Linked DNA regions of Caenorhabditis elegans. The protein of the gene in region 3 interacts with the protein of the main gene of each other region in a pairwise test. Each region holds a gene or a part of one and is shown on either strand. Other genes may lie near its edges.

The links. Proteins that work in one complex are often made in the same cells at the same time.
Region 1: the proteins of let-391 (region 3) and nhr-239 interact in a two-hybrid assay, tested with the Caenorhabditis elegans proteins (one large-scale study listed by BioGRID).
Region 2: the proteins of let-391 (region 3) and ZK546.5 interact in a two-hybrid assay, tested with the Caenorhabditis elegans proteins (one large-scale study listed by BioGRID).

The regions. Positions count from the first base shown.
Region 1 is NC_003281.10:2,558,891-2,568,472, reverse strand, and holds nhr-239 (Nuclear receptor domain-containing protein), read right to left. Parts: upstream 6,764-9,582; coding exon 6,760-6,763; intron 6,261-6,759; coding exon 6,120-6,260; intron 6,073-6,119; coding exon 5,977-6,072; intron 5,555-5,976; exon of another isoform or gene 5,424-5,554; coding exon of another isoform or gene 4,653-5,423; intron 4,605-4,652; coding exon of another isoform or gene 4,515-4,604; exon of another isoform or gene 4,490-4,514; intron 3,119-4,489; coding exon 3,041-3,118; intron 2,490-3,040; coding exon 2,326-2,489; intron 2,280-2,325; coding exon 2,198-2,279; intron 2,141-2,197; coding exon 1,917-2,140; 3' UTR 1,878-1,916; downstream 1-1,877. Other genes in the region: Y54F10AR.2 (Mitochondrial genome maintenance exonuclease 1), read left to right, coding at 777-1,005; Y54F10AM.11 (BTB domain-containing protein), read left to right, coding at 4,515-4,604, 4,653-5,423; feh-1 (Protein Fe65 homolog), read right to left, coding at 8,069-8,149, 8,997-9,204.
Region 2 is NC_003280.10:4,932,981-4,939,851, reverse strand, and holds ZK546.5 (C2H2-type domain-containing protein), read right to left. Parts: upstream 4,035-6,871; coding exon 3,953-4,034; intron 3,902-3,952; coding exon 3,825-3,901; intron 3,766-3,824; coding exon 3,565-3,765; intron 3,511-3,564; coding exon 3,417-3,510; intron 3,363-3,416; coding exon 3,031-3,362; intron 2,982-3,030; coding exon 2,689-2,981; intron 2,638-2,688; coding exon 2,103-2,637; intron 2,055-2,102; coding exon 1,923-2,054; 3' UTR 1,878-1,922; downstream 1-1,877. Other genes in the region: cblc-1 (MMACHC-like protein), read left to right, coding at 649-960; ZK546.4 (Energy transducer TonB), read right to left, coding at 1,294-1,635, 1,683-1,796; gst-30 (glutathione transferase), read left to right, coding at 4,836-4,968, 5,407-5,915; msp-152 (Major sperm protein 152), read right to left, coding at 6,442-6,825.
Region 3 is NC_003279.8:6,035,577-6,043,482, reverse strand, and holds let-391 (C2H2-type domain-containing protein), read right to left. Parts: upstream 5,081-7,906; 5' UTR 5,053-5,080; coding exon 5,026-5,052; intron 4,947-5,025; coding exon 4,834-4,946; intron 4,789-4,833; coding exon 4,710-4,788; intron 4,660-4,709; coding exon 4,459-4,659; intron 4,365-4,458; coding exon 4,246-4,364; intron 3,942-4,245; coding exon 3,629-3,941; intron 3,218-3,628; coding exon 3,019-3,217; intron 2,819-3,018; coding exon 2,508-2,818; 3' UTR 2,216-2,507; downstream 1-2,215. Other genes in the region: szy-5 (C2H2-type domain-containing protein), read right to left, coding at 111-430, 756-953, 1,369-1,809; C27A12.4 (C2H2-type domain-containing protein), read right to left, coding at 6,002-6,920, 7,158-7,283.

The DNA.
Region 1 (9,582 bases), on a different chromosome or scaffold from region 3:
CGAAAAAAAAATCGAAAAACGACGAGAATTTTAAATTTTACAACTTTTTGGTATTTTTGCAGTGTTTTTTCAGAGAAATTCGGGAAAAAAAAAATTCAAATTTCCGTTTGTTTCGGTGTTTTTTTTTCAGAAAAAATCAAAAATATTTGAATTTTCCGATTTCTACAGTTTATTGCAGAGAAAATTCATAAATTATCGATTTTTCGGTGTTTTTAGAAAAAAATTGGAAAAAATTTGTAATTTAACAGAATTTTTTAAAAAATAATTTTCGGGAAAAACTCAAAAATCAAACAAAATTTAAAGCTTTACGAAAAAATTTAAAAAAAAAAAAATCAATTTGACCGATTTTTTGATTTTTTGGATAATATTTCAAATTTTTGAATATTTTCCTATTTTTTCTCTGAAAAACCCAAATCTTTGGTTTTTGTTCACTGAAACTTTTAAAAAGAAAAAAAAATTGTTTTTTTTTTCAATTTTTTGGTATTTTTGCATTTTTAACGTTTTTTTTTGGCTTTTTTCAGAGAAGTTTTGAAATATTTCGATTTTCCGTATTTTTTAAAGATATATTCGAGTTTTTAAAAAAATTTTCAAAAAACATGAGAAATGATTAAAAATTATAGAAACCTGGAAAAAGTTTCCAAATTTTTTTTTTCAAATTCGAAGTATCTCCCTATTTTTAAAAAAAAATTAAAGTAAAAAAAAATTCAATTTTCTCTGAAAACATCGAAAAATTGAGAAAAAATCAATAATTTTTACTTAAAATTCCATATTTCCAGATACAAAGTGGTGCTCGGTGGATGCTACAAATTCGATAGTCTCCTGAATGAAATCCGTAAAGGATCACAAATGTGGTCACAACGGATCAAAACACCCAAGGACTACACTTTCAAATGGCCACGCTACACGATTGTCGAATTGGATATCTGTCAGCAGGCTTATAGTCAAATGCCGATTAGACTAAATGATACACGATACCTCTATGATTTTCATGTTTTTTCATTTTGATTTAGGCGACCTTTTCATTGAAATTTATATGTATCATGTAACCAATAAATACTGGTTTTAGTCTATAATTTTGATGTTTGTAGTGAAAATTACAGCAAGTTGCCGGAATTTAAAATATTCGGCAAACCGGCAAATTGCTGGAATTTGAAATTTCCGGCAAATGGACAAACCGGCAAAGTGCCGGAATCGAAAATTCCCGGCAAACCCGCAAATTTCCCAAATTTGAAAATTCCAACAAATCGGCAAATTGCTGGAATTGAAAATTTCTGGCAAACCCGCAAATTGCCCAAATTTGAAATTTCCGACAAATCGGCAAATTTCCGAAATTGAAAATTTCCGGCAAATCGGCAAACCGGCAAATTGCCGAAAATGAAAATTTCCGGCAAATCGGCAAATTGCCATGAATCGAAAATTTCCGGCAAATCGGCCAACCTGCAAATTGCCGGAATTGAAAACTTCCGGCAAACCGGTAAATTGCTGAAATTGAAAATTTCAGACAAATCGGCAAACCGGCAAATTGCCGGAATTGAAAATTTCCGGCAAATCGACAAATTGCCGGAATTAAGATTTCTCGCAAATCGGCAAACCGGCAAATTGCCGAACTTTAAATTTCCGGCAAATCGGCAAATTGCCGGAATTGAAAATTTCCGACAAACATTCCAACCGACAACTTGTCTGAATTGAAAATTTCAGACAAATCGGCAAACCGGCAAATTGCCGGAACTGAAAATTTCCGGCAAACCGGCACATCGGCAAATTGCCGGAAATGAAAATTTCCGGCAAATTGGCAAATTGCAGAAATTGAAAATTTCCGGCAAACCGGTAAATTGCCGGAATTAAGTTTTCCGGCAAATCGGCAAATTGCAAACCGGTAAATTCATTAAAACATTTATTCATCCATCAATTGAAAATCAAAACAATTCAACATTATCTGATTCAAAGACTTCAGTAATAAGACTGCTCATGGAGCTTCGGAGCAAACTTGACATCTCCCATGGTCCGTTTTCATAGAGCCACGTAACTGTATTGATTAGTTGTGTAGCTGTCTCGATAGAGTCATTTGTGAAGGAGTACCGCCATAGACAACATTTATAAAAGTTTTCCAAAGGTGCAGCGAATTTCAGAAGGGGACTGGCTGGAAAATTAATATCTAGCTAGATCTAGCATAAATAAAAGGGGATCTGAAACTTACTGGATTGGGAGAGAAGTATGCAGATAGTCAGCCGTAGTTGTTCTGGGTCACAATGCACTTTTTGCGGGATAGGTTTTGGCGGCTTAAATGGGTTACGGTAATATTCGCTGTGAGACCCAAAAACTTACTGGAAACCTGCTTAGTACTGCCTCATCTCCACTGGCCAATATCAATAGGGCAAATATGATTTGGCAGTTTTCTTCAACAACTTCTCGACGTTCCTGTTGGGACATGAAGTTTAGCAATAAGCATTTTGATGTAAGGATTACGGATTTCGAGAATATCGAGTCATCTGGAAATGGAAAAAAAAACCTGAGAATAAGAGAAGAAATCTACAACTTATCCACCAACTTTAGCAATTTTAGAAATGCCAAGCGTAGAAGTTGCTAAATTTGATTGAAAAAAGTTGGATAAAGTTGTCCAAAGTATTACGTGAACACTAAATTCAGAGAATGCGTATTGCACAACATATTTGACGCGCAAAATATCTCGTAGCGAAAACTACAGTATCTCTTTTAATTACTTTCGAAATGAATTTATTTTCCAAAAGTGACAGCGATATTCCATTTTTCTTCGATTTTTCGTATTATTTTGTTCATTTTTTTGCTTACTATTAATTTTTAATATTTTATCGATCAAAAATGATTTTCGTAAATCGACACAAGCTTTACAGTAGTCATTTAAAGAGTTACTGTAGTTTTCGCTATGAGATATTTTGCGCGTCAAATATGTTGCACAATACGCATTCTCAGAATTTTGTAATAGTCAAACTTAGAAGAAAGAAGGCTATGCAAGGCTAAGTTGGTGTATAAGTTTTGATGAATTACCCGAGTATAGACTTACATTTGAAAGAGATGGGGTTATTGGTATGTTTCAGCTGCAGGCATCGAAGCCTCCGAGGTCCTCGTTCAGTTTGGACAGCTGAATTGAACTTGATATATCAGTTAAGCAAAAAGAAAACACTATTTAAAAACGTAAATTGACAACACATTCTGTTCAATTTTTAAATTAATATTACCCAGGGGCGTTGGTGCGAAGAGTCTCAATTCTGTAGATATATGTAAGGTTCTTTTCATTACAGCTTCGTACACTCAAAATAATAAAACTGCGTGGCGTGTACTGCAGAAAACCTCATATTTAGGCCCCGCCTTTTTCTCGTCCACTCACGGAGAAAAGGCAAAAATTTGGGGACCAACCAATATCAGGCCGCCGACATCCTACGGGTTCCGCGCGCCGCTTTGTTTAACTCGCAGCGGGCGTCGATTTGACCTACGTAGGTCAAACGAAAATTGCGCAGAATACGCAAACACCGGCGGGAATTGCGCTTCATTGCACTTCCAGAATTTTCTTCTTTTTTTCCATTTTCTTTGATTTGTCATCAATTCTCTCCGTTTTTTGCCCATTTTTCTCCGATTTTTGGCCATTTTTTTTCAATGTAAAACTCGATTTTTCTTCATTTTTTGCCGATTTTCTGCCTATTTTTCTTGGATTTTCAAAGTAAAACTCGATTTTTCAGCACCGCCAGCAGTTCTAACGAGACAATGGCTGGAATGGACTTCTCGATGCCAAAGGAGCTCGTGTTCGACGCAATCGTGGTGGTGGAGGAGCGGAAGTTCCACGTGGGGAAGCAGGTTTGTGAAAACTTTGTTTAACTCGCAGCGGGCGGAGACAGCACCACGCCCACAGCGAGTTAAACATAGCGGCGCGCGGAACCCGTAGGATGTCGGCGGCCTGATATTGGTTGGTCCCCAAATTTTTGCCTTTTCTCCGTGAGTGGACGAGAAAAAGGCGGGGCCTAAATATGAGGTTTTCTGCAGTACACGCCACGCAGTTTTATTATTTTGAGTGTATACATTAACCAAAAAATCGATAAATTTACGGAAAAAAAATTCTCCGATTTTCTCAATTTTTTTTTTGCAAATTTATTGATTTTTCTGGAAATCAATTGGTTTTCCAGTAATTTTTCGATTTTTCTAAAAATTTATCGGTTTCCCGAAATTTATCGGGTTTTCCGGTGGTGTCAGAGTGCCCCTTTTCGATTTGACCTACGTAGGTCAAACGAAAATTGCGCAGAATACGCAAACACCGGCGGGAATTGCGCTTCATTGCACTTCCAGAATTTTCTTCTTTTTTTCCATTTTCTTTGATTTGTCATCAATTCTCTCCGTTTTTTGCCCATTTTTCTCCGATTTTTGGCCATTTTTTTTCAATGTAAAACTCGATTTTTCTTCATTTTTTGCCGATTTTCTGCCTATTTTTCTTGGATTTTCAAAGTAAAACTCGATTTTTCAGCACCGCCAGCAGTTCTAACGAGACAATGGCTGGAATGGACTTCTCGATGCCAAAGGAGCTCGTGTTCGACGCAATCGTGGTGGTGGAGGAGCGGAAGTTCCACGTGGGGAAGCAGGTTTGTGAAAACTACTAAAATTTTTGTGTAATAATTCACTATTTTCAGTATCTCGCCACACATTCGCGGGTCTTCCAGTCTCTGTTCGCCACCCCGGGAGATCCAGAGATCACAATTCAGGACGTCTCTTCCGAGGATTTCCTCAAATTCCTCGAATTCATGTACCACAACACGGATCAAATCACAGCACAGAATGTGGAGTCGCTTCTGACGGTTTCTGCACGGTTTGGCGTGGATTTTGTGATGGCTCGCTGCGAAAATTGGCTCTCACTCGATGAGTCAATGGATTTCTCGCTTCGTCTCCAGCTCGCCGAGACGTACAAATTCTGGAATCTCTTTGACAAACTTCTGGAGACGTTGCAAAGCGAAGCCGACTGTCAGCAAGTGATGAAAATGCGATTCCCACCGAAGTTGGCCAGTCATTCGATGATGGCGTTGTGTCGCCGAGCTGCTGCTCTCGCCAAGGAAGCTGCAAAGCCAGAAGGAGCCGGAGCACAAATCACCGAGGAGGAGCTCGACCGGACTATGAAGATGCTCGCTCCAGCAGAAGATGACCATTCTCAGATGGAGCTCACAGTTCCCGACGACAACGCTTCCGGAAGCTCTGGAACTCTCGGAGATTCTGAGGACACTGGTGCTGAGCTCGTGGAGCCGGAACTCTCAAGGATCCTTCAGAGGACGTTCGTGGTGCCGAGAAGATCGCGGAAGCTGTCTGTGCCAGAGCCGGAGGAGTACGAGGAGGACGGCTTCTCGGAAACTCTGGAGCTGTTCCAGGAGGAGGCACGCAGCTGCCACGACGATACAATCACGCTGGAGTGATGGATAAGAAGATAATTTTCATGTCAAATAATTTCGCCATATTTTTTATTAGTATATTTAAATTTTCATCGTGTACATATTAGACTATTTCAAGTTATTTTTGTGAATTCATAAATCGGGTCGCAACTTGATATTATTTTTGACTCGGAAATGTTTGAAACTCTAGGAAAGGGAGAGAGAGAGAGAAGAGAGACTTGAGCCAAAGCCTAATCCTACGCTTGAGCCAAAGACTGAGCCGAAGCCTAATCCTACGCCTAAGACTAATTCAAAGCCTAATCATAAGCCTGAGCCTAAGCATAACCTTATGCCCAAGCCAAGTCCTAAACCTAAGCCAGAGACTGAGCCTAAGCCTAAGCCCACGAATAAGCCTAGTACTATTCCTGATTCAAAGTCTAATCCTACTCCTAGGCCTACACCTAAGCCTAAGCCTAGGCCTCAGTCTAAGACTAAGCCTAAGACTAAGCCCAAGTCTAAGCCTAGGCCCATGTCTAATCCTAAGCCTATGCCTGGGCCCACACCTAGGCCTACACCTAGGCCTGAGCCTATTACTCACCGAGTCTATTCATCTTCAACCTTGTGCATTTTGCAAGCCGACACGCCGGGCACCAATTCCTTCGGCCTTTATCCACGACGCACTTCCAATTTCCCGCTGAAATATAATTTCAGATAATATAAATTTCCGGCCTGAAAGCTAACCAATACAAGTATAGATAATATTCTTGCGTACACTTCTCTTGAAAAAGCAACTGCATCCATCACATGCCCATACTCCATAGTGTCTACCGTAAGACTTGTCTCCACAAATCTCACAGTTCACGGCTGCCGTGTCTTTTCGGCCTGAAAACGATATTTGATCTACAGAAATTGCGCCAATTTGAGCGCGCGCTGTGAAATTCGTGTGACCTCACATTTTCGGAAAATTTTTGGCAATTGCCGTTTTTCCGGCAATTTTCCGATTTGCTGGAAATTTTCAATTCCGGCAATTTGTCGATTTGCCATTTTTCCGGCAAATTCGGCAAATCAATTTGCCGGTTTGCCGATTTGCCGGAAATTTTAATTTCCGGCAATTTGCCGATTTGCCATTAATTTTCAATTCCGGCAATTTGCCGATTTGCCGGTTTGCCGGAAAAAATCGTTTGCCGCTTGCGGAAATTCCATTAATGTTTTTGTGAAAGAAACAAATTCAAACTGTAGTTAACGAGTTTTTCGTAAAAAACTAAAAAATTCGAAGAACTGCTGCAAACGCGCCCCAACGAACTATTGGCCTACGTAGCGCGGCCAATTTTTATTCAAATTTTGCAGAATAATTACAAAAACCGAGAAAATTCTCACTTACCCATCGAAAAATTAGCAAAATCACCGGAAACCGAAAAATAAAAGGCATATCTCCGTATTGCAGCTCGCCAATTTATACCACCTGAGAATCACTAATTGGAAAGGTATTCGGTGTCAGATGGTAGTAGTAGTACTAGTTGAAATATGAGAATAGTCCCCCACCTTTCCCAAAATCACAAGGTTAGAAGAAGCTTACTTCATCATAAGTCGGGGCGCATTAATTATTTATTGAATTTTTGAGCAACCGACACTCTGATCGAATAGATTTTCTATGGAAAATCGGAAAGAATTTGCTATTTTGAAGCTGAAATTGGCTGGGGCAAAAAAGGGCAAAAACAGGCAAAAAATTATGAAAAAAATTTAGAAAAAAAATTTGCAAAAAGAAATTCAAATTAATTTTTTTAAAATTTTCTATTGAAAACTTTAAATATCTCACTGAACAACTATTAGTTTGCTTACCAGCCTGTCTACCTACCTACCTAAATGCCTATCTGCCTGCATGCCTACATACATATCGGCGTTCCTACCTACCTATCAGTATGACCCCTGCCTGCCAGCCTGGTTACCTACCTACATACCTATCGGCCTACCTGCCTACCTTAATACCTATCTGCCTGCATGCCTGTGTACCAGCTTGGTTACCTACCTACATACCTATCGGCCATCCTACCTACCTAAATGCCTATAGGCGTTCCTGCCCACCTAAACACCTATCTGCCTGTATGCCTGCCTACCAGCCTGGCTGCCTATCTACATACCTACCGGCCTACCTACCTAACTGAATACCTGTCTTCTGCCTTCATGCCTGTCTACCAATTTGGCTACCTACCTACATACCTATCGGCCTTCCTATCTGCATGCCTGCATACCAGCCTGGTTACCTACCTACATACCTATTGGTGTACCTACATACCTACATGGCTATCCGCCTGCCTACCTGCTCACTTACCTGCCTGCCTGCCTGCCTAGCTTCCTGCCAAACAATTTTCGCGACCTATCGATGCACCATGTTCATTCCACCAAACTTGTTATAAAACTCCATTTTTATCAGAAAAACCTTTTTTCAAAGAAATCAAATTCTACAAAACAAAAAAAAATTGTCACAGATGTTGAAAAAGCTACACAGAAAGAGGGATTGTACAAGTAAAAATGTATCGGTGGATTGAAGAATATTGCCAAGTGAGGGGCCGGGGTAAACTTTTGGTTTGAAAGCATATTTGGGATGAGCAGAACAGAGTATGAGAGAAAAAAATATGAGAAAAATCCATCAAAAATACAGAAAATTAAAGAACCGAAGAAAAATGAAGAATTCAAAGTCGTTGTGCCGACCTAGAAGGTACCATACGTGACGTCACCGAACCAAAAGCGTCGCGAAATGTTTCAGTCCATCCCTGTAATTATTTCAAGTTAGGTTTTAAGGATTTTAAGGCTTTCAGCAGATTATTAAGAGTTAATTGGATTTTTTGGTAGTATGTGCACATTAATTTCGGCTCACAACAAAAGTTATGGTGCATCGATCAAAAAAAATTTTTTTTTCGAATTTAAAATTTTGTTCAATATCCTACAGTAAACTACAGTACCCCTACAGTACCCATACAGTTCCCTACAGTATCCCTATAGTATCCCTACAGTACCCTTGTAGTGCACCTACAGTACTTCCATATTAACTTTACATAAGATCTACTGTAGTCCTACAGTATTCCTGTAGTACATCTACAGAATTCCTACACTATCCCTACAATACTCCTACAGTAACCTACAGTACTCTAGAGTACTACTACAGTACCCTACAGTACCCCCCCCCCATTACAGGCCCTTACAGAATCCCTACAGTGCCCATACAACAGCTCTACAGTACCCCTAAAGCACTTCTACAGTGCCCTAAAGTATTCCTACAGTACCCCTTCAGTACCCCTACAGCCCGCTATAGCAACCCTACAGTACCCTTACAGTACCCCTATAGTAACCGTACAGTCCTACAGTACCCTAACAGTAACCTACAGTACCCTATAAAAGGCCCTTACAGAACCCTTACAATACAGTACCCCCTACAAACAATTTAAAGCCTAAGTCTAATTTGACGGCCTAGAATCTGAAAATCTAAAATTAAAAATGTTAAATTCCATGGGAAACATGTTAGTTTATTATTTGTCTGTCACCAAAAAAAAGTGACTCTTCAAATAATTTTCAAGCGATTATATTTGTTAAAGCAAGGGAAAGTGAAGAAGTTTCAAAAACCTTGCCGTGGTAGGTGGATGGTGGATGTTGTCCATGAATCGACATTCCCGAGTGATGACGGGATGATGAGTGGGCGTCGAGCACTTTTTGGTATCGAAGCTTACAAGCAGCCTCGACCATTTTTGCCATGGCGGCTGCGTTCGGTTCGACGTGGAAGACGTAGCACATGAAGCTTTCCGATGAGGTTTGCATTATGAAGGCACAGTGTCTGGAAGTTGTGGAATTGAGAGAAATACCTAGAGTAACCTTAGAGGACGCCTACAGTAATCCTACGGTACCCCTACAGTACCCCTAAAGCCACCCTACAGTATGTCTACAGTATCCCTACATCAACCCTACAGTACCCTCACAGTACCCCACAGTAATCATGCACTACCACTACAGTACCCCTACAACTCGCCTACAGTTATCCTACAGTATCCTTACAACCGGTCTACAGTAATACTATAATATACCTATGTACATTACACCTATAGTATCCCTTTATTACCCCTACAGTAGCCTTACAGTATTTCTCCCAACAATACCCCTACAGTGCTCCTACAGTACCCCCACAACCCGCCTACAGTACTCCTACATTATCCAT
Region 2 (6,871 bases), on a different chromosome or scaffold from region 3:
AACTCTGCTCAATTTATAGCAAATTTCTCTCTTATCTTTGTCCCAGATCTTCACATTAATATCCTCACGTAAAGGTCATAATGGATATTTTGTCACATCTCTAATATTAGTTCAAAAAGTTAATAAATAAATACAATTATTTTTGAAATCCGTAAAACTTCTCACAAATTGAATGCTTTTTATGATTTCAAAAATCTTATACAATTTAAGAAATTTTCCTCCAGGATTGCCTAACTTGACCGAACTAATTAATCTAGTCAGACCCAACTTCCCACAATTTATCAAATTTTCCGAGCTGTCTAGAAAATCTATAGAAAATTGAAAATTTCCTCCACTTCGAAATTTTTAATCATAAATAATAGCTTTCTATATGCAATTTTAAAATTTTAAAATTATATAAGTAATTTTCTACATCTAACAAACATATTTGCGAAAATTTGGCACCTGTAGCGGCCACTTGAACTGAGTTCGTGGCGAGACCCACTCGAAAATACATGATGTGCCTTTAAACTGACCTGGCAATTTTTTGCGAATCTACAATAACAAAAACTGGCAACATTAAGAATATTCCATCTATTCTAAAAACAAAATAATATTAAAAACCCTTTTTTATTAAATAAATTTAATAAATCTATAAACATTTTACAGAAATTCATCGGCCTCAGTCTACATCCAATCTACGGTGGACACTTCGCATTTCGATCGGTTCTCATCTTCCCCAATGTCAAAATTCCGGAATTCTGCGAAAAGGAACCCCGTCCGATTCTGACGGCTTCTGAAGATGTTCGCACAGCACTGGAGAAATTCAATTACAATTGGAAGGACTCTGGATTCCGTGATTTTGGAAATCCAACGCGACGATATTCCACGACTCAAATGGAATTTTTTGGACGCCCCGTCGCGGAGAGATGGGAGGTTTTGAGACCATGGGTCGACGGAGGAGCAAAGAATATCGACTAATATTAGATTAAATGTTTTTGAGATTTTATCTGATTTTTTAGCCATAATTTTTATAGGTGCTGTGTTATATTAGTTTAATAGAATCTATTATTAGTTAAGCCCTACCCTTATTGCCATTTCTTCAATTGATGAGCAGCTTTGTATTATGCCATTTCACACGAATCTACACATTACCCACGGGATATTTTATTGTCGAATTCTATCTTATTATCGCTCAATTTCCAGCGAAAGCCTTGGTTGTGATCATTGTTCTCCCAGTGTATAGCTTTTTTTCATAAATTTGAACGGTGACTAAAAATGTATTTATTGTTGCAAAAAGAAAAGAAGGTTCATTCATTGAGGCATTGTTGCTCCAGGCCATTGGGATGGTGGAATCGATGCGGATACGGTAGCTGGATCCGCTTTCGGAAGACCAACATAGACGGATGAGCTGGGTGCATTCTTTTCGGTGGATTCCGGTGCAAGGTTTCCGACAATCTCCTTTGGTTGTTGCTCAGTTGGCTGTTCATGCTTCTCATCTGACGCTGGAACCTTTACAGACTCGGGAGCAATGTCAGCAGACTTTTGAGCATCCCATGATTCAGGAGCAGTCTTGGATGGATCGATTTTCTCGCGTTCCGAAGTTGGAGCCGAGTTTGTGGGACGCGAAAAAGCCAAATAATTCCAAAAATCAGACTGAAACAAAACGGAAATTCGATGTTAAATCCTCCTAGTATTCTTACAATTTTATCTCTGAAATTCCAAACAACAATCGCAATTCCAACAGCAGCAACTGTCACAATCGCTTCTTTTCGAAAACTTCTCCTCGGAACTGCTGGTGTGATTGCTCGCGACATTTCGATTTGATTAAATTGTGAAATAATTGAAATATTTGGTTTTTCCTGACTTATTATTGTTGGATGTACGTGAAAAACTGAATTTAATTTATTTTTATTCGAAAAAAAAATTATTTATATTTAAGACTAATCAAAAAGTGGTTGCCCGTTGATTTCAATCACCCCTTCATCGCCTTCGACATTTTCGATTATTTGATGATCCACATCTTCGACATGTTCTTCTTCTAGAGTATCATCTTCGTTCACTAAGATCATTTGCTGAAATTTACGAATTTTATAAAAAACAATTTTCAAAATTCCACTCACCACATTACCCATATTATCCCAGTCATTTCCTAGATCCATTTGAAACTGATCATATTCATTTTCAGCAACTTCTCCTTCAATTTCAGCATTTTCCAATGCCATCATCTCATCGCCCTCTTCAATTATCTGCTCCTCGCCTTCATGATTTATTTCAAATTGAGGAACGAGGTGATGATGATCGATAGTTCCATCTGGTTGTTGTAATGGGACCAATTGAATTTTCGTTCCATTCTCATCGTAAATATAATAAGTTTCTCTGAGATCATATCCTTCTGGTAAGAGAACTTGAATATTTCCATGCTCATCATGAATCATTTGTGGGAAGTTGTGTTGTTCTGCTGCTTCATTTGCATCCTCATCTGGAATCATTGCTTGGGATGTAGATGGAATATCATTCGGATCTTCGGAGCTTTCAACAACGACTTCTTCATGTTGAGTTGGAATATGAAGACGTCGATGTTCGATGAACTCCGGACGATTGTCGAATTTAGAATCACAGCACGTCCAAAAGATCTCACCATTTGATACTTCTAATCTGCAAAAATATTTTTTCTAGATATTTTTCTTGTTTAAAACAAATAATTACTCAAAGGTAGGGAGACCTCCTGTCTCAACCATACAAGAAAACGAAGATTTCATATGAACTCGTTCCATGTGCTTGAACAAAAGACGAGGTCGATTCAACTTTAGTCCGCATTCTGGACATGTAACTCGTCCGGCAGTGTCTCCATCAGAAATCTCTCCAAGAATTGGCAGTCGAATTGACATTTCATCAGCCATTTCAAAATTTGTTCGTCGCCGCAATCGTTTTTGTTCTTCATCATATTGGTAAAATGTTCGACGTGATTTCAGGTATTCTGGTACATTTGCCCATGCTGTCTGAAAATGAAAAAATTAATCGAAAATGTTGAATTTAAATCTAACTTACATAATTATGAACATCGTTTTTATGGAGATTCAACTCTGACATACTGTGAGAGATATGACCGCAGAACTTGCAAATATATTTTTTTCGTCGGGTGTGATGCGATGTAACGTGGGCTCTTAGCTTCCCATCATCAGGAAATACTAATGAGCATAATTCACACGTCAGATTCTGAACCTCGTGAGCTCCTAATCGATCAATAAGCTGTAATCGAAGCTCGTCATTCTTTTTGTGTGCTCTTTGATGAGATTCCATGGCTGTTGGATGTGCTATGTTGACGAGCATATTACAGATTGTACAAGCTTCATATTGTTCTCCTCCTACAGTCGGCTGATCTTAAAATGTACATTTTATTATATATTTATTTATTTTTTTCTAATTTTACTTACTTCCAGCAAGAACAGCTTTTACAAGTTGATGTGCTCTTGCTTCGTGTCTCATTTTATCCATTGTTAGTCGATCGCGAGATCGGAGCCGTTCGAACTGAAATCTTTATTTTGTTTTAAAAAAAGTTACAATTTTCTAAATTTAAAATACCTCTCTTTTCTTCCATTCTCCACAAATTGTATTAATATCTAGCATGATATCGTCTAAATTCTGCAGGTGACACTCTCTTCCATGCTTTTCAAGTCCTGATGCAGTCAAAAAAATTTTCTCCTCACAAAATCGGCATGGATAAGATTCGACATCGTTAGCGATTCCTGGCAATTTCTTCGGTTTGAAGTTGGATGGGTGATTCTGAATATTAATAATTTTTCCTACAATAATTTAATACTTAAATTAAATAACAAATCTACCTCATTTACAGTCAATACTCCTGATTGTACTTCATATCCTTCTCGTTTAACTTTTTCACCTTCGTCGTCTCGAACATCTATAATGATTTGAATTATGACTTCTGCGACTAAAAACAATATTTTTATACCTTTCCGCGTATGTTTAAGCGCTACATTTTTTCGTATGATTCTTGGCGGTTTTCGTGGTCCTCCACCTATAATTGCAGCCATCTAAAAACAAAAAAGTTTACTAAATTGTAGAAAGTTAGAGGAATTAAAACTAAAAAATACATGGCAAAACCGATAAAAATTCAATAAATAAAATTTAATGTAAGTGCGCTCCATTGGATGCAAGCGAGAGAACGGAGACGCAGCGTTGGAGTCGACTTTGTGGGAAGGGCCACTAGACGAGTAAATTGGACCAAAAAGTATTAAAAATAATCGTATATTTTTTGTTCGGTAAGCAAAACTGTACGTACTCTTCATGTCTTCAGCTCTGAATTCCAATTTTGATGTAAATTATGAAAATAACAACAAATCCAAGACAATTGCGAGATCTACAGTACTCCTTTAAATCTAGTTGGTCGTTTCGAGACCGGGTACCGTATTTTTTCGTAAATTGCCAGGTAATTAGTGAAGAACGGAAATTTAAATTAATTTTTTTTATTAATTAAAGTTTACATTGTAATAGTCATTTTGTTAGATATGAACTGTTCTCAATTCTTCATTATTACACTAGTGTCTCAAATATGCTGACTATAAAAAAGAGCATTCTCAAATCACGTAAGACCAACAGAATCACACCTTAATATTAGCAAGGATGATAAATGTGGCAAGACGCGTCTCTAGTTTCCTCGATTTTCTCCCAATTCCAAGCAATTGTCATCATTTTGGCAACCTTTCTCGTACATTTTTAATGCCGCCTTACTTCGAAAAAAAAACACGATGAGAATGACAAACAAATTGAATGAAGGAGACAGTATAAAAGAGAATGTTTGAATTGGTCTTTCATCATTCGACTCCAAACACACTATGGTCCACTATAAACTTTCATATTTTCCAATTCGATTTGCTGGAGAAATTCCACGACAGATTCTGGCATATGCCGGGCAAAAGTTTGAGGATCACCGGATTCCACAGGCTGATTGGCCAGCTCTCAAGTCGAGTGAGTTTTTGAAACTTTTTTTTTCAAAATACTATTTATTCGTGATTAAAATGTTGTGCCGCTCTAACCGCTGTGGGCGTGGCGAGATCCACTTGATAAAATCTTGATTAGACCTGACACCAATATTCTGGGTCTTATTATAAATCATTGATTTTTGTTCACAAAAACTGACCTGAAAGCAATCTCAGAACTACCTTTTTTGGTTCAAAGTTCCCGTATAAATCTAACTTTTTTGTAGGGACCTATTTAGAAGGTGCTCTTTGAAATGAAATATGTATAGTTCCAAAATCGAGATATATGTTAAAGTATCTTCCATGTAATAGAATAACAAATACGATCACTTTTAATTGCGAGGCTGGCGGGATATTTGTGTACAGGTTTTTCTAATTTAATTTTTTTATGTCTAAAAATGTTGTATTGAATTTTCTATATTTCCAGCTATGCCGTTCGGAACTCTTCCTGTCCTTTATCAGGATGGGAAACCACTTGGACAATCCCATGCAATTTCTCGTTTTCTTGCTCGCCAATTTGGAATAAATGGAAGATGTCCATGGGAAGAAGCTCAAGTGAATGCAATTGCAGATCAATTCAAAGATTATCTCAATGACATCCGATCTTATAATCTCGTGAAAATGGGATTTGCACAAGGAGATGCCGATGCTCTTTACAAGGACACATTCCTTCCAAATTTCAAGAAAAACTACCAATTCTTCACCAATTTCCTTAAAGCCAGTGGATCTGGATTCTTGATCGGTGACTCTGTCACCTGGGTTGATCTGTTGATTGCTCAACATACATCAGATCTTCTCAGTGACAGTGGATCTGTGTTTGCTGCCAGTCAATCACTTCTAGACGAATTCCCAGAACTCAAGGCTCATCAAAAGAAGATTCATTCTATTCCAAATATCAAAAAATGGGTTGAGACTCGTCCAGTTACACCATTTTAATTCTAGGAACACTTTACCAACTTTTTTGTTGAAAATAAAGTAATTTCATGATTCAATACATCAAAACACTACATCGAAGTGCGGGAAGTAATTGAATCAAGAAAATTAATTGCAATTTAGTTTATTTCCTTAAAACGGCAACAATCTAAAAAAAGAATATTATTACAGAGACACTTAATAGAGTTATTGGGAATTTTGGCAATATTTTAGTATGCAGATACTGCAGAAATTTAAACCACTTTGCAATGCAAACAGAAACCAAAAATTCCAGGCTTCTTTTGGAATCATTTCGGCAGAACCTGCAGAAATGTTAAAGTTCGGTTTTTTTAAAAGAACTGATCGAAGAAACATTGCAGTGTCGAGCCAGCTAATCCAGAGGAAAATGCTCAAACTAGTGGAAAGGAAGCTCTTTTTTCGAGCATGACAATATTATCTCGTTTGAAAATCTCTGAAAATCTGTTCAAGTAAAAAAACAAAAAACGAACTATCAATGAAAATTTATTGAAATTTTGGAAGTTCACAGATCCTATGGGTTGTACTCAATTGGGAGGTTCTTACGACGGACCATACCGTCTCCTTGGAACCATTCCCGACGGAATTGCTTAGCAGCACCATCCGGAGTGTTGGTCCACTCAACAGTGATACGATCGTTGTTAGTGTCCTCCTGTCCAAAGGCGAAGGCATCGCAGGAAACTGCCAGAAGCACAGCTTCCTTTGGGTCCAGAACTCCACATGGTGGATCAACTCCAAGTCTCTTCATATTGGTGGTCTTGATACCGTATCCAATACGGCGAGCAGATGAGTTGATCACCTTGATGTGGTAGGTGTGCTTGTCATCGTATGGTGCATTGAAGACGATCTTCGTACCCGGCTGGGTCTGGATGTCTCCTGGTGGGACGGATTGGGTCATGGCGACTTCTTGATTGGGAGTTAAAACTCACAGTGAAGTTTATGAC
Region 3 (7,906 bases):
AAATTTTCAGCAAAAAGAAAAACAGAATGAAAAATCTGAATTTTTTTCGACGCATTTTTTCAAATCTTTTCGATTTTTCAAATAATTAATTTAAAAAAAAAACGACTAACAAATCCTGAATCATTCCATAAATATTGGCATCACCATTTTGAATTTCCTCTTTAAGACTTTTTCCATTTGAAATATCAACTATTTCTTCTCCATCATATAATATTTCTCCTTCTGCTACAACTTGTAAATGTGGTTCAGATGGTCCTGGAGCTGCTTCAACATGCTCAAAATGAAGATTTTCATATGGAATTGATTGTTGTTTTATTGTCGGTGTTTCTTCTATTTCTGTTGGTACTTGTTGAACGTATTGTTCCTCGTAAAACTCGTAGATCGGCTCAGGCTCACCATTGAAATCTTGAAGGATCAATCCGTTTTGGACCTGAAAATAATTGAAATTGATGGAAAATCCTGGATTTTTTAGTTTCGGAATTTCTTTCGATTTTTTCTGAATATCGGAAAATTTAGAAATTTTGTTTTTTTTTAATCTTTCAGGGTCACTTTTCAAAATAATTTTAGGTTTAAAAAATTAATTTGAAAATGCTCTACTTTTCTCATTGAATTCAACATATTTTGGATAAATCAAAAGTTTCTAGAAAACTTTTTCTGCGATTTGATACACCGAAAATTCAAAAAAAATTTCGAGAAGGGGATTTTTCCAAATTTAGAACGTATTTTCCAGTAATTTTCCATTAAAATCTCAATACCGTTTGCTGATAATGTGTGACAGTCATATGTTCGACAACTTCGGCTTCTTCATAACTCTGAAAACCGCACATTTCAGAACATTCGTAAATTTGGCACGGCTCTGCTTGAATTGTTGGCTCCGCGACCTGAATAAATTGTGACGTCGTTGCATTGTTCTCTTCCATTGTTTCACCGTGATTTGGATGATGCATATGTTGCTGAAATATTTATAAAATTGAAGAAGTGGCAGAGATATTCAGAATATTCTTCTATTTTTGTAGAATATCATAAAAAAGTACTTTTCAGTTCAAAAAACAGTTAATCAAAAATAAGTTGCGCACATTTTCAAATATCCAAAAAATTCTTTATTTTTTATTTTTTCATACGATCCATACGATCCGAAAATACGTTAAAAGTCGGATATTCTAGAAGATTTCGTCTAGAATTCCTATGAACTATATGCAAAAATGGCATTTTGATAGTTCTGAATTTTCTAAAATACAAAAAAAAATTGCAAAAGTAAAAGGATTTTTGTGATTTTCAAAATAATCAAGTTAAAATCTATGAAATTTCGTATCAGAAAGTTATTTAAATTTTCAAAAAAAGAATTTCCGAAAAATTAAAATTTCTCACCTCTTCATGTTCATTCTTTTCATAAACATTCAAGAATTCAGCCGTACAAAATGAACATTTGTATGGTTTTTCATGTGCATGTTGCTGCATATGAGTTTTTAATGTATGTGCTTGACTGAAACTTATATTGCAAATTGAACAAACATTTGGCTTCTCTCCAGTATGTTTTCGAATGTGTTCAGTTATTTTTGATGGATATTTTATGTGCTTATTGCATTGAACACAATGATATATTTGTGCCGGTGGTCGTTTTTTCATTCGATAACTTCGATTTGTTGGATCATTTCGACGATAAAGACATTCGGGACGACTTGGAAGAATTTCGACGGATTCGTTGAATTGTTCATATGTAAATGTGGGAATTCGAGTAGTTGGTTGAAAAACTCTAATATTTGGAATTCGAGGACGAGGTAGTTGAGGTTTTACACAAGATTCTGCCATTTCTGAAAATATCGATTTTTATTTTTCGACGTTAATTTTTTATGGGCCTTCCTGGACCTTTAGAAAGTTTTTAGCAAATTAAAAAAGGTATATCTAAAAAAATTTGTTTTGGATTTTGTGAAATTTGAAAAAAACAATTAATTGGTTTTTTACATTCTAAACCCTTTTAAAACATTTTATAGAAAATTGGGCTCAAAAAAAAAGTACCGCTACATTTTTTCGAACTGCTCAAAAATAGCTTGCTGAAAGTTTGAAAATGTTAAAAAAAATTTCAAAATCTCATCTTTTCAATTTTTGCGAAAGGAGAAAGTTTCAAAATATATTGGCAAACAATAAAAAAAAAGCAAGTATAATTAAACAGTAAAAATACTGAATACGGAAAAGAAAAAAAATTTGAAAAATCTGAGAAAAAAAATCTTTATTAAAAAAAGAAGCAAAAAGAAACTCGTAGGTTAACCAAAATAAACTGAAAATTGTGAGAATTAATTCTCACAATTTTTCTAGAATTTGAATGAAAAAAATGGTTAAAAAATGCAAAATTTAATAGTGGCCTAGAAATTTGAAATTTGAATAACTCTTCCATTTTAAAAACTAATTGCTGGGTGGAATAGAAAACTGAATATATGAAGTAGAAAATGCTAGTTACCCTATAAGTTGCCTAGATATTGGAAAATGAAAGAGCTTTTTCAAGTTTCTGGTCAAAAATGAACAGTTTTTTGATCTTCCATGCTTCCTCCTTGCTCCACAAATTCCTCTTCATCATCTTCAAAATGAGCCAAGATCTTGACGTCATCACCATCACCAGTGAGCATTATAATCTGATTGTTCTGTTCATGATCATCTTCATAAACAATAACTGAATCCTGTGATTCCTCGTGATTCACTTGAACATGATCGAAAATTGGTGTGAAGAGCTCGGGATGTGCATTTTTTCGATGTCTCATGAGATATACACGACGAGCAAATACTGCATTACATCCTTTTACAACGCATGTGTAACGTTTTATACCTGGAATGTTTCAAAAATTGTAATTTTTGTAGATGACTACTCTTTTAAATATTTTTGAGTTAACATATTTTCAATAACACTCTTAATTTGAGAAAATTCTAAAATTTGCAACAAAAAAAAATGGAAATTGCTTTCTTTTTCTAAATTACCCCCGGTTTTAACCCAAATTTCGGATAGTAAAATATATTTTGAATATTTACCAGTGTGTACAGTCATTTCATGTTCTTTTCTAACAGAATCCGTTACAAAAGACAATCCACATCTCCAAGTACATTCAAATGGACGTTCTCCAGTATGCATTCGACGAATATGTACTTTTAAAGAGCTCGCTTTTGACAATGACAAGCCACATTCTCCACATTCAAATGGTTTTTCGCCTGTGTGTGTTCGGATATGATCCTGAAAAATGGGAAAGAAATTTGTATTTAAAAATAAATTTATCTTTCTTTTTTTTATTAAAAATTGTAATTTTTGATTTCAAAGTTTAGAAAATTCAACAATTTTCGATATAATAAATCATATTATATTTTTCTAGAAATTTCAGAACTTGAGAGGTTTATAAATAGAGAGAAAATTGGAAATTTTGTTTTTTAACACATTTAAACCTATAAGCTTTGATTTAAAAAATTTTAATTACAAATATTTTTTTCTGTTTGCTCAGAAAATCAAGTTTCGAATGCTTTTTATCGAAAAAATTGTTTCTCTGTCCAATTCTCAATTTTTCAGCAAAAATTCAGCTTGTGGGCACTGAAATAATTTTAATTTTTCATTTTTCACCAAAATTCGTTTTTTATCGAAAAAAAAACTAACAGCAATTTTGCTCGGATGTTTAAGCATTAATCCACAAATATTGCATTGTGCAAGTGTTGCTCTTCGATTTGAAATATATGCTCTTTTCTGAGGAGCTTTTTCTGGTTCTTCGATCGGAATTTCTTCATCAATCGGAGCCAAAACTCGAGCCAATACTGTATTAATAACGTCATCAATTCGAGCATTAGATATTGCAGCTTTTTCCATTTCTTTTTCTGATGGATATATAGATTGTTTTGTTGTTTGATTTGATGATTGAAATTGAGAAGGTGAAGAGGAAGAAGTTGATGGATCACTTTGAAATATTGAGTCTCTGCAAAGTTATTTTAATTTCTTTTAAATTTACCAATTCGGAAATAAGATGGAAGTTTTCGAATTTAGAAATTTTCAGGAGTTTTATTTAAATTATCAAAGTTTTTTATTAATTAAAACACCGATTTTTTAAATGTTGTTTTAAAATTTGTTAAAGAACAAAAAGTGTTAAAATCTCAATTTTAAAGATTGCTGATTAAACACCGCAATTCACTTTTTAAAAAATGTAAAATCTTATAATTCTTGTTTTTTGTTGTAATTTTTATTTATTTTATCAAGTTTAGTTCACTTCTGCATATACTTACATCGTTGGTGGTGATATATAATTAGCTAGTGCAGAATTTGAAAGTATATCCATATCCATTGATGGACAAACAATCTTTTTAACTGGTTTCAGATAAGGCCGTGCCGGTCCTGCTCGCTTCTGCAAAAAATATATCTTATTCCGGTAATCTTTTAGGATATAAATGCTTGATTCGATGTTTTAAATTTTTCTATAGCATAAAAACTTTTCTTACCAATCCATTATGGCTTAATTCGTGTGCAGTTCTGCGTGAATTATTCACAAATCGTTTGCCACAACCGAAATTACACAGAAATGGGAGATCACCCATGTGTTGAACACGAAAATGGTTAATCATTGGAGTTCTTTGAGTGAATCTCATTCCACAAATGTCACATTCGTATGGTTTTTCGCCTGTGTGAGTTCTCATGTGTTCCTGAACAAATAAAAATCTTCATTTTGTTATAAAAATAAAATATTCTGTACCATAATCCTCGATGGATATTTCAACGCAACTCCACATACTTCGCACGTCGTCACCGTCGGCAACTTTTGATTTCCTTTCCTTCAATTTTATATTTAATAAATTTTTAGCACAAAAATTTCATACTTTTTTCTGTATGTCGAATCTGGAATCTTGACAATCTCCTCGAGCTCTTCGTGCTCTTTTTGCGCGTCGGGAGTGCACTCAGCTGCCCATTCCTCGAAAATTGCATCGGAATTCTGAAAATTTTTGATTTTCTTAATGAAAATTGGAAAACTAAATTGAAATTAGTTATTTTACTTGCGATAAATGTACTACTTCGTCTAAATCCTCGTTATTCTTCATTTTGGTTGTTTATCGAATTTTAGGATCTGGAAAAATACACAATTAATGGCAATAAGGAAGATTTAATCATATAAACATAAAAATTTTAAAGATTAATAATATTTATATGAAAGGAAAAATTCAACAAAAACTGTTTTAAATAGAAGAAAAAGTCAAATATTGATTTTTTGCGAATAAAAAATAAAATTGAAAATAAACAACGACACTCCGATATCCCGTCTTCGAAAGAGCGCGAAATTTGAATTGAGGGTTTAATAAATATAATTCTTTGCAACGGCTGAAATCTTGTTTCTTAACGAGACAGAAGAAGAAGTAATGAATAGATCATTGCCATCACATCTTCATTTCCATTCAAATATTGGAGTTTAATCTTTAAATTGATAAAAGCCGTTCGGATAACATACGAGTAGAAAATGTTCATAGTGAAACAGCAGCACGTTGATCATGCAAATTCATAAGGAAATCAGGAAGTTTTACGAGTCTAAGAAATAGGCGAATGTTTTGTGTTGTGTATTGAGCGTTAGACAAGGAGATTTACGTAGATAGAATATTTTACTTTTAACGTAGATAGAATATTTATTATGAACATACGAGAAGGAATGTGAATAAAGGCTCAATACTCGAGAAATCGAAGAAAAAGAAATTGAGATGCAACATGGAATTTAATAACGATCTCCGTGATGGCGTGAGCGATCTCTTGAATAATCCCGCTTTCTTCTTCTATAGTCACGACGATGGTGATGCTCTGAACGTCTGGGGGTCCACTCATCTGTCGAGGGGCTTCGGCGACCACGCTGTGAAATTTACAGATAGATTTAGTTGGTTTTTTCGCATGATCGAGGAATAAACTAGGTCATTTTGCAAATTACTCACCCTCTGGTTTCTCAATGGCGATTTCGGTGTATGTTCCCTGTTACGTGGCTGGTGTCCTGCTCCACGTCCCCGTTGATTAGATGGAGACATCGGCGATCGCCTTGAGGGGCCCTCCTCCCGCTGCTCGGAGACGTCTGAAATGTTTGAAATCGAAACGATGGTCTGGGACCGCTTTGCTTCCGGAGAGATGAGGTTCCGGAATCAGCTTGTCCACAGCTAGAGTTGACAATGGTGCACCGAAAGACGAAGAACTCGCCCTATTCCCAAAAAAGTTCCCAAAAGCTGGCTGGGCCAAGCGAGGAGTGGAAGGACCTGTAAAGTCGAAGCTGCCTTCTCCAGATCTTTCCTCGACGGCTGGGATTGATGACCCGGAGACCGCACGATCGGAGAGGAATCCTAGACGTGCTGGTGCAGATGAATCTTCTGGCGCCTTTCCACGTGAGCTGGTAGGAACAACATTCTCTAACCGTGACATAGTCACAGTCTTGATGAACTGAACATCAGGAGATGAGGAGCCATCTCTCTGAGGCCCTCTGGAGTCTTTTGGGAGCTGGCGTACTTCGCAAAAACCCATATTTGGTGCAGGGCTCCTTGTAGTAACCTCTTCTTTAATTGGAAGAGCTGATGTGGAAGAACTGTTGAGCTCTACATCGATTTCCGGAACCTGGTGGCTGTAGGATGTTTTCTTCCTCGAGATCTGATTGAAACACGGAAGATCATCATAAGCAGGAGTTCCTCCAGTCCTCCGAGTGTTGTGGGCATAATTGGAGGAAGTCCTATGCTTATGGTATTCTTCCTTCGATATAACCATAAGAAATACGTTCAGCGACCTATGACGATCCACCGATTTATCTCTTCCTATCGGAGGAAGTACTTCCATTTCCGCGGTCTTCGAGGTGCACAGGTCTCCATTGGTGACGCTGTGATGGTTGTAGAGTTGGCTCGGATCCGTGAGATCCATGCAGCACTTCTTGCAACGGTAGAGGTAAGTCCTCCTGAAATTAAAATTATGTAATATTACAATGTAACATGGTGGTATAGAAAATGAACCAAAATCAACGTTATTTTTCTCAAACTTGCAAGAAATGGCTGAATCACATTTGAATTCCCGCGCAATTGAATGCACTAGTTTCAACATTTTTGTGTTTTCCGGCTAATATTTTCTTGTCCCTTCAGATAGTTGTCTAGTCCGTCAAACACTCTTCCATTTTTGCATTTTATGAAAAACTTACGTGTGAGTGCCCATGTGTGTGATGCAGTCAGCAAGGGTCCCCACGAACCCACATTCTCTTCCCCTCACGTCCATGGGGTACTTGCAGTACATGTGCATTTTGTTGGGGGCATAGGACGGCTCCGAGCTGAAATATAGAATAGTGGGAATACTATTTTTTTTCCTTAGTTTGGTGAGTTTCGAGTTGAACAACTTTGCTGCGAGACTCAGGAAAAAAACGAGAGAAAAGCTGACACAATTCATTTGTAATATTCCCCACCTAAATGAAAAGCACTTTTTCCGAAGTTTGTTAGGGGTTCAGCAAACATCTACCTTAGATCGGGTGACAACAGTCGAACGTGATATCTCACTATAATAGTACCGTAGTTAATGGGAAGGGTACGGTATGTTACATTAAAATTACTCATGGATACGGTGCGGTAAAATGGGTTAATGTAGTAAATGGTATGGTAGGTTAAGTTAGATTTATTTACGGTATGGTACAGGGGTGTGCGGCAAGTTCGGCAAATTCGCCGCACCCCCCTGGTATGGTGCTAGGGTGCACTACAGATTACGGTTTTAAGAAGTACTGTAGGTTAAGATACCTTTCTATAGGGGAGGCCGGTTACGAGTACGGTAGGCTACGGTTTGATACCATAGGCTAGGATACTATACATACTGTAGGGTAATATTGGCTACGGTACTTCCAGGTACTATGTATATGTGATTGTGAAATATTTCAAGATACTATGGTACTGCAGGATATATAGG